Caenorhabditis elegans: one gene and its partner. The protein of the gene in region 1 purifies or fractionates together with the protein of each later gene. This does not show direct contact. Each region holds a gene or a part of one and is shown on either strand. Other genes may lie near its edges.

What was found. The genes of interacting proteins can lie anywhere in the genome.
Region 2: the proteins of blmp-1 (region 1) and dre-1 purify together in Caenorhabditis elegans (affinity purification with western blotting; 2 studies listed by BioGRID). This does not show direct contact.

The regions. Positions count from the first base shown.
Region 1 is NC_003279.8:10,407,615-10,415,567, reverse strand, and holds blmp-1 (B lymphocyte-induced maturation protein 1 homolog), read right to left. Parts: upstream 6,267-7,953; 5' UTR 6,210-6,266; coding exon 6,032-6,209; intron 5,699-6,031; coding exon 5,604-5,698; intron 5,343-5,603; coding exon 4,475-5,342; intron 3,965-4,474; coding exon 3,618-3,964; intron 3,236-3,617; coding exon 3,141-3,235; intron 3,091-3,140; coding exon 2,622-3,090; intron 2,207-2,621; coding exon 2,159-2,206; intron 2,076-2,158; coding exon 1,722-2,075; 3' UTR 795-1,721; downstream 1-794. UniProt on the Caenorhabditis elegans protein: Transcription factor which binds to enhancer elements in the promoter region of genes. Regulates the expression of the transcription factor bed-3 to control vulval development.
Region 2 is NC_003283.11:6,543,151-6,548,526, forward strand, and holds the start of dre-1 (F-box domain-containing protein), read right to left. Parts: upstream 3,342-5,376; coding exon 3,212-3,341; intron 622-3,211; exon of another isoform or gene 416-621; intron 1-415. UniProt on the Caenorhabditis elegans protein: Substrate recognition component of a SCF (SKP1-CUL1-F-box protein) E3 ubiquitin-protein ligase complex which mediates the ubiquitination and subsequent proteasomal degradation of target proteins including blmp-1.

The DNA.
Region 1 (7,953 bases):
AATTCCGGCAAGTTGCCGGTTTGCGGATTTGCCGGAAATTTCAATTACGCCAATTCGGGAAATTTCAATTCCGGCAAGTTGCCGGTTTGCCGATTTGCCGGAAATTTTCAATTACGGCAAATCGGGAAATTTCAATTCCGTCAATTTGCCGATTTGCCGGAAATTTCAATTCTGGCAATTTGCCGATTTGCCGATTTGCTGGAAATTTCAATTCCGTCAATTTACCGATTTGCCGGAAATTTCAATTCTGGCAACTTGCCGATTTGCCGATTTGCTGGAAATTTTCAATTTCGACAAATTCGGCACTTTGCCGGTTTGCCGATTTGCCGGAAATTTCAATTTCGGCAAATCGGGAAATTTCAATTCCGGCAAGCTGTCGGTTTGCCGATTTGCCGGAAGTTTCAATTCCGGCAAATCGGGAAATTTCAATTCCGGCAAGTTGCCGGTTTGCCGATTTGCCGGAAATTTTCAATTACGGCAAATCGGGAAATTTCAATTCCGGCAAGTTGCCGGTTTGCCGATTTGCCGGAAATTTTCAATTACGGCAAATCGGGAAATTTCAATTCCGTCAATTTGCCGATTTGCCGGAAATTTCAATTCTGGCAACTTACCGATTTGCCGATTTGCTGGAAATTTTCAATTTCGACAAATTCGGCACTTTGCCGGTTTGCCGATTTGCCGGAAATTTCAATTGTGGCAACTTACCGATTTGCCGTTTTTCCGGCAAATTTGGCACCTCACCGGTTTGCCGATTTGCCGGAAATTTTCGAGAAAATTAGTATGTATGTAATCCTATCAAGTTTTCAAAGTTTATATATATACATACAAAATTAGACAAGATATTGTTTTGAAAAAGTTAGAAAATAGAAACAACTTCTAGAAAGAAATTGCAAAAATATAATGAAAGTATGATCACAGATAGGTGTGTTGAAATGCCGGAAGATTTTGATGGAAATTGTTGAATAAAAAATAGAAAATTTTGACAGTGATAAGAATGAAAGGGGACTGATAAAGCAAGAGACAATGAGAGAATGAAAAGATAATATAGGTTTAGGCGGTGTATATGGAAGATTTCAAAAAAATAATTATATTAAATCTGATAATTTTGAGAAACGAACTATTTGAACTTTAACTCAGGTTCTTTGTGGAATTATTTGAATTTGAAGTTTTTGAATACAATTAATATTATGAGAGACTCGTTCTGGAATGGGAGGATGGAGAAAGGGGCAGGAAGGTGTAAGAACAATTTGAGATTTTGCGAAAAAAATTGATCTAATTGTTTTCTACCTGGCTTATAAACAAACTGGTAAAAGGGATCTGAAAATATTTGAGTAGCATAGTAAAAAATGAAAATGCTAAGATGCTGGAGAAGCAAGCAGGGGCTCTTGTGTAGGTATAAAATGCCTACACGCCTGCCTACAGGCACTCCAAAAACTGCTAATTTTGGTTAAATTATTTTTTCAATAAAAAATTAATGTTAAAATATAGAAAAATATCCGGATATAGAAATAAAATGAATTTTCGAACTTAACAAACATCTTTCTATATCTACATTCTCACATTAACTTTTTTCAGATGAAATTTGCGTTATTCTACCAAAATAGGCAGTGCTGTGAGGCACGCAGTGGAGGCATTAATTCCTACACAGAAGCTCAAGTACAAATGATATGACTGGATTGTGGGAGACGGGTAGTGTTTTCATAAAGTTATAAATATGATAATTATGGATAATGCGGCAATCCGAGGCTTGGAAGTAGGGGATTTTTCAAATCAGGAAGCCTATGAATCCCATTATGTTGTGGATGTTGCTGTTGACCAGATCCAGATGATGGACCTCCTTGAATAAGTTGATGTTGATGTGGAATACCTCCTCCATTCTGCATTCCACTATGATCCATTTGGAAATGTTGTGGAGGTGGTGGTGGCCCCTGAAGATGGGATCCTTGTCCCATATGTCCCATTGTGTTTCCATACATCATGTGTTGCTGCTGTTGAGATGTTGGTGGTGGAGCCTGTTGTTCTTGCATTCCACTTGGACCTTGACCGAGGAGGGAGGCGTTGGGAAGATTGTATTTCTGAAAATTGTAGGATGAGAATGGGAAAGTGAGATAAGAAATATTTATTTGTATGCATGATGAAGCCGAATATAAAAGCTTACACTATAAATGGTTTCGATTGGCATAAGTGGCCGCTTGAGTTCGGAGTTCTGAAAGCAGTGAAAATGTAAGCAGAAGCAAAGCTGTTGTTAGTAATTTACTTGATTTCTTCTAAAGCTCGAAAACTAAAACTCGAGCAAAAAAATTTATTCACGACCGTATTTCTTCTATTAGTCTTGCGCCCACTTACTCTACTTTGACATCTCATATCTCGGTCCACTAAAGATATTTTTCCAAATGTTTCACAAATTCAATATTTTCTCAGTTAGAAATTTTTCGATAAAACCATAGGCAACTAAGATATGAACTTACAAAGTTAGGAAAAGTGGGTCAATACTATTAGAGGAAACGTTGTCGACTTAAACTTGGACAGTATTAAAAATTTGATCAACTTTTTAAAACTTAGTTTCCATTTTGTAAAAAACGGCGGAACATGTATAACTCGATATAATCTTCATTACTTACCAGTGTATTTTCAAAGATTCCCAGATTTCCATAACCCGACCCTGACATTGATCCTTCATCGATTTCGCCTTTGATATCCATTAAATCATCCCTCATCGAGTCTTTCATATCCTCTTCTTTACATGTAGTTGTTTTCCAATGAGTTCTCAATCCACTCGGTGAAATATATTTCTTTCCACATGTTCCACAACTATACGGTCTTTCGTTTGCATGCAGACGTTTATGAAGTCTTAGATGAACGTATTGAGTGAACTTGGCATCACAAACATCACACGTATACGGCTTCTGACCATTGTGAAGTCGAAGATGAGTTTTTAAATTAGAAGTCGACGAGAATCGCTTATCACAAATATCACAGCGATGAGGACGTTCTCCGGTATGAACAAGATGATGCTTCTGAAGATGAGCAAGCTGTGTGAACTCTTTTGTGCAAATTTCACATTTGAATGGACGTTCGCCGGTGTGCGTTCTGAAATGTTGAAAGTAAAAAAATAATTGGAAAATAAGAAAAGTTCTAACCTGACATGAACTTTAAGATTCGAAAGCTGTCCGAATGTTTTGTTGCAGTCTTTGCAAGCGTATCTCGTTTTTCCATTTTCCTGTTGTTGCACGTACTGAAAAATTTTAATTTAAATTTATTTTCATGTAGAAAATATGAAAAGGAATAACTAGACATTTTACCAGGTCTAGGCGTGTGAATCGCCCTCCTTGCGCCCTGATTTGAAAAAGATTTACAAAAAAGCACCCGGTAATCAATTGATTTATGTATCAAAACTTTGCTAATTTTATTGGGATCAACATAGAAAAGGTAGAGATAAAAGGTAGAGATAAATAGAGGCAGGGTCAAAAATTATAAAAAATATATAATTTAAAAAAATTAAAAAATCTAGTATTAAACATTTAAATATCAACTGTTTTTTAAAAAGAATGTTTCAAAATATTTTCCCATCAACCATCAAGTTCAACAAATTAAAAATCTTCTTTGGTAAAACTTACATTTGGAACTCCATTAAATGATGAATCATTGTGTGATGAAGACGAATGATTAACAAATGGAAGTTGATGAAATGAAGAAGTATGGGCACTTCCACCCATTCCAAATCCTCCACCCATACCACCACCACCTCCGAATGCTGGAGACGCAGATGTGTACAGAGGTTTTGATAGCTCATGCTGGAAATCTTGACTCCCATAAATTGCTGCATAGTTTCCAAAATGAGCTCCTGCAGTTGCTGCAAGTACTGGCTGCACATCAATCGGCTGGCCGGATCTTCCACCAGTGGCAGTTATTGCGGCTGTTGTTTGAGCAACAGGGGACACAAACATTGAGGTATCAACTAGTTCTGAAATAGGGTTCAATTGTTTTCAGGACTTTTTAGGACGCCCCAGTTTGTTTTTAACTTAGCAGTTAACAGTAAGCTATAAAATTATGAATAAACATACAACATGTATTTTGAAAACTTTTCCGTTGATAAAACCACATCCGCACGGGATAAAAGCTGCCGAAAATCCGAAAACAGGTAGATCACTAATTAAAAAGTATAGTAAAGCATAAACAATTTGATAATTTAATTGATTGAGGAAACAATTTTAACAAACTGAAAATATTGTTAAACTTAAGTTGATGTGTTAAAAACAAAAAAAAAGTATACAAATGTATCTTGTTTGTCGACAGAAGCTTAATCCCCATCAAGGACATATGGCGTTTTTAGCTGTTTCTGATAAGTTTTGTTAACAAAATGTTAAGCAACTTTTTGCATCTCCAGTGAAAAAAACTTCAAAAAAAAGTGTTACATTTTCAAAATTTTCAATTTCAGCTTATCAGAGATTCAGAGTGGGATTAATAAACTCACTTAATTGAAGGGATTTCCTCATGAACTCTTTAAAATCCACCAACGGACTTGCATAAAAATTGCCAAGTCGAACGGGTATTCCCGGGAAATTATTGACTTTGGTTGCAACAGGCCTCACAACTGGATTCTGGATAACATTAGGCCGTGTGACTTCTGCAACAGGCCGTGTACAGCTCTCCTGCTCTTCAACATCAATCATTTCTTCGTCACTTGCAGAAGAAGCATCAGTAGAGAGTGTATCAATGGGTGATTCAATGAGTTTTTTAACTGAATAATCAATTGCCACAATTGTTTCTGCTAAACTCGCAATTGCAGTTGATGCAGAAGCTGGTGGTGCAGATGGAATCAGTTGAGTAGCTGGCCTTCGAACTCTTACGTATGGTCTTGTTGAATAATTTAATTTCCTTGCGTAGTCCCTGCTGAACCAAAATGATAATTCAGTATTTGCTTCAATCTTTTTAACTGTGTAAAAGTAGATATCATTTCCAATTTGTGCAGCAACAAGATTCTGAAAATCTTCCTCTTCAGCAGCTGCCACGTATTTCATCCAATTTGATCTCGCATCATCTTTCACACAAATCGTTTTATTCAATCTGCCACCTGATGGAGAATAGATCTTCCACTCTTCCGGAGCTTCATCAAATGGAACATCTTCTTGAGCTGGACCACCTCCAGCCATTGATGCTTCAGCAGGACATACAAGTGCTGTGTCAACATCTACCAAACGAATTTCTCCAACGAGCGGGCCAAATCGGACTCCTCTCGGAATATGATCAGATGACCATATTGACGATTTCTTTCGATTTTTTGAGGAGGACTTGAGAATTAGGTTCATAGGAAGTGTGCATTCTGCTCGCTTTGGATTTGGCTGAAAATAAATGGAATTAAAATTGAAATGGTTTTTTTCGATGTATATTAACTTTCTCATACTATTTTTGTAGTCCTGGCAAAAAAACGGTCGGCAAAAAAGCAACTTTTTAGTGCACATCTCAAACTTTCTATGGAACGTTTTGAACTTTCCAAATTTCTAGAGAACTTTTTGTTCCAAAACCATTTTTTTAGAGAAATATACATGTAGGCAGGCAGGCTCGGTTTTTAAAACTTTATAGACTATAAAATACGAACTCACCAAACTAACAGATTTGTCTGGAACATGAAATATACATAATTCGGCAAGATTCTCATCTCCCGACTGCTTCCAATCAGTTTCAACGTTTCTCGCACCTGAAATTAAAATGTTCATTGTATAAAATGACAGCTTCACAGTTTTTTCTTTCGGTTTAAATTTTGAAGTGATTGTTTTTTTTGTTTTCACTTTCATTTGTTCTTTTTTATATGGTGTCCACGTCTAGTTCAAGAGGGAAAAGAACATTTTGATGATAAGTGATAGCGCGGCGATGATAAGCTTGGCGGCATTGAAATTTGATAAGAAATCCGAAAAGGAAAAAAAAGAAGTGGAGGGAAGAAAAACGAATTTGGCTGATTCGATTTCTTCGCAAATGTAGATCACGGATGGCTGCCAAGGGGGCCGAGTTACAGTATCCTATCACAACTTACCTGACGCTGAAACTCCGGCAGGTGACGTGGATGATGGCGGTGTGGAAGATGATGACGTGGCAGATGAAGCAGAAGAAACGCCGACAGAAAGGGGAGAATGAGGTGGTGAGTGAGCTGCCGCAGCAGCCGAAGAGAACGGTGCCGGCGGAACACCGTCATCCCCACTTCCTTGACCCATTTTTTACAGGTTTTGTTTAAAATGAGATCGAAGGAAAAGAGAAGAGAGATTTATTTTCTGAAATTGAAAACATGATTCTGGTAAAATAAAAATAATTTTTGGCAAAAAGAAAGACAAATTAAAAGTGAACCAATTCAAATAAAAGTTTCAAAACAAGAGCGAGAGAGTAATAGAGCACGGAGAGGGAAAAGGCGAGGGCGAGAATCAGGAAAACGGCGCCGAAATTGTCAAAAAGACCTTGATAAGGAAGAACTCGAAGAATTGGGGTGAAATAGCTGGGTGACCGAGGAGAGTGCAGAGTTAAGAAGAGCAAAAAGGGAAAGTTGGTGATTACGGTAGGTGGGTTAGATGATGGGAGGTTGTGCAATAATAGATTAATGTTTTTTTTAAAGGAGGAACTTATTAAGGCGTCCGGGATGTGCGCCTGCCTACCTATCTTCAATACTGCCTACTGAAAAAGTCAACAAGAACTGAACGAAAACCTAAATTACAGAATATAAGAGGTAGACAGGCATAAGTCAGGCGTCAACGTCTCAAGAAAAATCTGAAGAGGCAGTAGTTCAATAGCTCAATTTTTTTCAATTCCAAGTTAATTTCAGAGTTGAGCTTCTGAATTGAAACTTTTTTAAGATGTCAAGGGAATACGGTATGCATATTGTCGATCCAACAAGTAACCTCGTTGCTCAACTTTCGCGGCTTATATCTCGGTTCTCTTTAGTTGTATCAAAAAACTGTCAACTATAAAAACATTTGCGGACTAATTTTCAATATTTCTGCAGTTGTGCAATTTCGGATATCTAAACAAAAAACCAAGATATTAGCTGAAAAGGTGAGCAGTCCGATTTAATACTAATATAGGGAATACCCTTAAAGACGGACTATGACTTGTGGGGATTTTGCATCAAATTGCTTTAGATACTCCCAATAATTCGTATTAAACAATAAAAACTAAAACAATTGGCTAAGTTTGAAAAAACTTAATTTTTTAATTTCAAGCCTACGGGAGTTGCTCAGGAATATGTGCCGGAGAACTGAAAACCAAACAAGTTCATTTGAAGATTGTTTTAATATTTCAGAAAAATTCAAGCTTGTTCACATAATTTTTGTTCATAAACCTCGAAAATTCCCATCACCGCGGGCACAAATTCCAGAGCTTGTATAAAAAACCTAAATTGGCAACTTTCAAAAAAAGTGACGGGTGAGAAAAAAAAGTTAAAAGTTTAGAAGAAAAAGAGCGAGGCGGGGTCAGATCTGTTTGTCTTTTTCATTTGAAACACGTGTGATTCAGAATTCAGAAAAGGAGCCGACAACTTTCAAACAAAAAAATGTGGGGATTTGGGAAAAGAATACGGTAGCTTGGCAAATATGAAATCAAATTTGAAATGTACTAAAAAAATTGTAAAGGAAGATCGTTCATAAAAAGGAGGAGATGAATAATAAGAGTTTGTACAAAAGGGGGAAAAGCGAGAAAATAGCTGCTGCTACTACTGTTGGATGGGACGAATTGGAAGCAAAGAGAGTGAGAGAATGGATTACGGTAGAAAAGGATAATAAATAGTATTGAAATTTCAGAGATGCAGAGTCACGGTCAGTCATGACGCCGCCCGAGAATTGTCGCTCGCGCGCGCGCAACGACCATTCATCCATGGATTCGGATTCGACGGTGGTCTTCTTCTCTTCCGAAGAGTGTGAGGTATGGCTGTACACAGCAAAGAGAGATCACTGATTGAAGAGAGGATCAGAG
Region 2 (5,376 bases), on another chromosome or scaffold:
AGAAAAACGGGAGGAATGCAAGGATAACGAGATGGTTGATCGGATAGATGTGTGAGTGCATACGTGGCAAAATCTGGTTATGCCAACATCGTCTGGAAGAAGAAAAAGAAGACATAAGAAGAAGAAGAGAAGAAAAAAAAGTCGTAAAAGTTTATGTTTTGAAGGAAGTAGCAGGGACGGAAGAGGAGGATGTGATGATGTGTCTAATCAATAATAAGACTAGATTGAAATGTGTAATTGAATCGGCCTGATGGGACAATTGTAGGAGGTCAGAAGAAACATTCCGAAAATAGCAATTTATGTGTGGGGGAGGCGACAAAAGGTGCGTAAACATAAAATTTACAAAAGCATCGATGTTTACAGAAGCATATAGGTGTTCTTGTCCTTCATCATTCAATGCCTTTGGCCAGTTTTTGAATGCCCCTAGTCTTCATCGTCATCAACGTCCAACTGTACGACGATGGAGACGATGCCTACACCGAAGAGGACATAGAGTGAGAGAATGTGGCATGTAGCAAAGAGGAAAATGAGGGCAAGAAGCAGTCAGCAATAGCCATGAATTGAAACTGGATTCGGTGTCGTCGGCCCCCTGTATGATGTAGATGGGGCGTGGATCCATTGGGCTAGTGATGATGGTCACGCTGTGGAATTGAGAAAGAAGGGACGAGAAGGAGAACTAACTGTGAAAAAATTGGGGAGAAGCTCAATGGGTTTGCTTTAGGAGCAAGCCGTGCCAGGGTCACTGTTTGTTTAGTTTTTTTGGGTTAGGTTAGATCAAGGGTAGTGCTCCGTTTTTTGAGAATGACAGGGATGAAAATGATGTTGACCAGTTGAACTACCCAACTAGACACATCAGAAATTATGTTAACTCCAACTCGGCAAAACGTCGCAACTTCATAGCAATCTCCTGCAACTTAATAAAAACATTCATATAACTTTGTAAAAAGCTGTTAAGAAGTTGCGAAAACCAACGGGATTGTGAGCGAAATTTAGCTTTACATCTGCTAAAAAATTGCAAAAGTCGTCTGAAAAGCTGCAGAAGTTTGCTTAAAAGCTAAAATGCCTAATGGTTGTTAAGAAGTTGCAAGAGTATGCTACGAAGTTAGGCCATTTTGCCGAGAAACTTTAAAAAAAAATGAATGTGATGGCGTTAAAACTATCAGCTTTCACTGCGAAAAAACTGGGAAAATGGTTTAATATTCACAAAATTCTTTCAATTCTCTTAATACTTTAAAAAATTACTCCTCAAACATTTTTGATTTTTTTTTCTTTTTGGTAATAAAATATCACCTGACAGCAAAGTTTTGCAGCTTCAGGTATTTTTTTTCCAATTTAGAAAAATCTTATACTTGCAGAAAAAATTTGCAAATTGTATTTCTTGCTAACTGTGAGTTTTTAAAAATAAAGTTCCAAAATGTGTGTTTCAAAAACCTGCAAACTTGTTTTAAATCCACATGTACTTTTAAAATATGTTCATGGGGAGTCTCCAACGGAACATTTTTTCAAAGTTTTTTCCCGATTATTGATCAAATCGGAAATAATATTACCAAAAAATCTCGAGTCTTTCTTTTTTTCAACAGGAAAATAATTTGAGAAAAAGTATTTTAATCAGACAGTTTGAAAATTATTTTCCATCGGTCCTGATAAAAGTTTAAAGGGGTTACAAGAGAAAAGAAAAGCACAAAAAATATAAATACGAAAACTATAAAAGCAGCTGACTAAAAATGAAAACATAGATGGGAAAAAAAGAAAAAGCCGGAAGTAGTTTTTCGATTCACTCTGCCAAATTCTCTTCATCACTTTTTTGATGATTCTCTATTTTTTTTTTTGAAATGTCTCATATTACCTCAAAAGCATAGAAATAAAAAGAAAAACACGCAGACAACTCCGAAGTGATCTAACGAAAATCTCGCGTGTGAGTGTATGTCAGTGCCGGCCTGTCCTTTCTCCAACATAACGATATTGTTATTCACAGTTGGCATTTCTTTCGAAGGTGAGGGTACGCAGACAACACGTGGAAGGTGGCCCATGGGAGGGGGAGATGATGAGATGCGCGGAAAATGGTCGTCGGCAACGGCAACAACACATTGACCGGTGGTGGTACCGGGCGTGCACTACTAGAAGACACCACTCACTGACTCGAGAGACGACCTTCTTTCAATATTCTTCATGTATGTTATTGCGATGAACCCGACACGAGATAACAACCCGATGATGAGTGGTAATTTATAGGTTCGGGTCAAGTTTTATAGCTCAAATATGCTTTGAAAAACAAAAAGAAAAAGGACATCAAATTTGAAAAAAAGTGTATTGCCTATGTAATTTTTTGTGCACTCCAGAAAAGGTGAGAATAAATTTGAAATGTGACTTACGTCATTCAATGAAATTTTAGTTTTCTCCGGTTTCCATAAGCAAACGCCACAATAGTTAATCAGGTGACATTGCAGAATTCACAATAAAAAGTGCAAAACACTATGCATCAAAAGGCTCGGGCAAAAAATCCAGCTCCCATGAAAGTATTTCAGCATATTTTTAGAATTCTAAATAAAACCTATATCATTTGAAAGAGTGCCTTGGCAATAGGTTACTTTTAAAAATTGGCAACAAAGGAGCACATTGAATTAGAAAAGGTCATTCTGAAAATTTTTGACAAAAATCTTTGCAAAATTCTTTCAGGCCAAAGAACTGTAATGTTTTGTAATGACATATTTCAAGACTCACATTTAAAAGACATAAGTTTCATCTGGAACTAAAAACGAGCTGAAATATTTTTCTTGCTAGTTGTGCTATTTTAGAGATTTTTTGAACATAGATGTGATTGCCACCTTTTTAGGACATTTTTTAAAAGTAGACAATCGTGGTGGAAATTCGAAAAAGTTTAGTGAGCGCACTCCTGTTACAGTTAGAGAAAAAGTTATTAACGTGGAGAAATTATTTTTTGAGCTCTTACTTTTATGTTCATCATTATCAAATTTGCTTGTTCCTATTTTTAGTCTGATCTTTTTAATTTTTTAAAGTGTCAATAGCAACACAAACATCACGAGAAACGGAAGATTAAATTGGATACATCGGACAGATAGTAGAATTGAATCCACCGGGCGGGTCAACAGAGGTCAGTGTCACACATACACTCTACGATAAGCTTATGACGATCGATGATCGAACACCGCTGTATCCTTCATCACCGACCTAGTTTTCTTCAAATACTTACCGAATTTTCGTGCAGATGAGGATCCTCTTCTCTGAAGTTTTGGAGAAAGATGCGCGGCTCTCGTTGAAACGAGAGAAGGCCGCGATTCCATAAGCACATCGTCACTCGACACTTCTTCTTCCTCCGCCATCAACTGAAATTATTGAAGATTACGGACGTTTCAAGGTGTAAAAATATAATGTGTGTGAAAATATTAAAAATTTAAATTCCAAATAAAAAACTTTAAACTTTAAAAACAATCTCATGAAGCATAGTGAGAGAGAGAGAGAGTTTTTATGATAGTTTTTGTGGGAAATAAAGAGCAAACAAAGCAAAAACTGCAATTTCCCAAAAAATATAATATAAGAGTAAACATTTAGAATTAGTTTTTTAAAAAATTCAATAATTAGAGGAACGGAGTATATCTATTTGAGATTATTGTTAACGTGGAGAGTGTCCCAGATAACTTCTGTAAATTAAGTAGATATTTGGAAATTTTTTCTACAGTTCAAATTATGATATAATCTAAAACTAGACAGTTTTTATTCTGGAAACCTTCAAGGATGACATTCCCTAATTCCCTAAAACATTGCTTATAAGTCACGAGAAAACGAAGAAAAATGAAATGGAAAACCGAGGAACGACGTGGAAATGCATTTATCAGTGTTAAATTCATTGATAAGTTGGGGTCGTCAAATGATGACGAGCCGATAGAAAAAGTAATGAGAAATGGGAGAAAAGTTGGAAGAAAACTTCTTGGGAAAAGAAGGCAAACTCTTTTTTTTTCTACTTGGAGACGTCAGAGGAAGGAAATATGTAGGAGATGATGAGCTCTTCAAAGAAGAAAAGAAGAGAGGAATAAAATATTTGATTCGGTTGTGCAGTCGGCAATGTGGTGTCAGGATTATTACATTCGTTTTCTTATTTTTTAAAAAAATAAGAAAAATATTCAATTTACGGGGGAGTAGATGAGCTTATGGAGCAGGTTTAGAGCATTAGAATTCTCATTTGAAATTGGAATAATTCAGATTTCTAATCATAGTATTTTCGATGCTACGGTACTCGGTCTAAAAATTTCAACGAAAAATTATGAAAAATCGATGATAACTGTGTAGAAAAGAGAGTTTGAATCACAGTACACCTTCTCGCTTTTGACAAAAATTTGTTGTGTCGAGACCGGGCACTTTATTGTTGGCTAAAAATCGTGAAATTTTGCTTATGGGTAATAGCATGGCTTCTGGACACAACTATTTAATGTTTATTGACAATTAAATTCAATAAATGATTTTTATTCAAAACATGTGGTCGCAAAAGGAAAAATATGCTCGTTCAATGAAATCGCTTTAATTGAAATCAATTATGTAATTGATTTTTTTTGTTGCATTTTGCAGCATATTGTCTGGTAAATAGCACAACATTTTTTTGCTGCCACTTCACAAATGGGCCTTATGGTAAGTTTTACGTTTTTCAATTTCAAAAAATATTTTTTTAACCTAGCGTACATTTATTTCAAAATGTTACCACTGATTGTGAGGAAAGGAAAATTTCAGAAAACTCGATAGTCGGCAAAAATTAAAAGGCTTGAGTTATATAGCTTTTCAACAAGCTTCCAAGATTTTTTTTCCAGTTTCAAGAAAAGAGTATCATTTGCTGGAATTATTGTTGGAATAAAAACTCAAACTTTGCCGGGCAAGGAAAATCAGAAAAACTGTAATTAAACTTTGAATACATCAAAACCAGAATCCGAAGGTGTCAAATTCGGTAAAAGTGTCATTCCAAAAAAGATAAATATACATGGAAAACAGGAAAGTATTCAAAACTGTACTTTTTATCGAACCATATAATCTAGAACACTGAACAAGTCTCTCCACCGTTCACCACCGTCAACGTACGGCGAAATGGAAACCGGACGGATTTGGGAAGAAAAAGAGTGAAGAAATGAGAGGGGGAGAAAAAGAGTTTTAAATAATTCACACCACGTTTTCGCGGGTTTTTTGTTCCTTCATCTAAAAGATGCATATCTTCTAAATTGACAGGGGTCAAGCGCGTCTTATGTGTGTTTCTTTCAAATTACAAAAAGTGGGAGTCTCCGGAATTGGAAGAAAAGATGAGTATCAAAAGGGCGCGGCGCGCGGAGCAATCGCGGAACACAACAGTACGTTCGCTTCTTCCTTCCAATACAATTT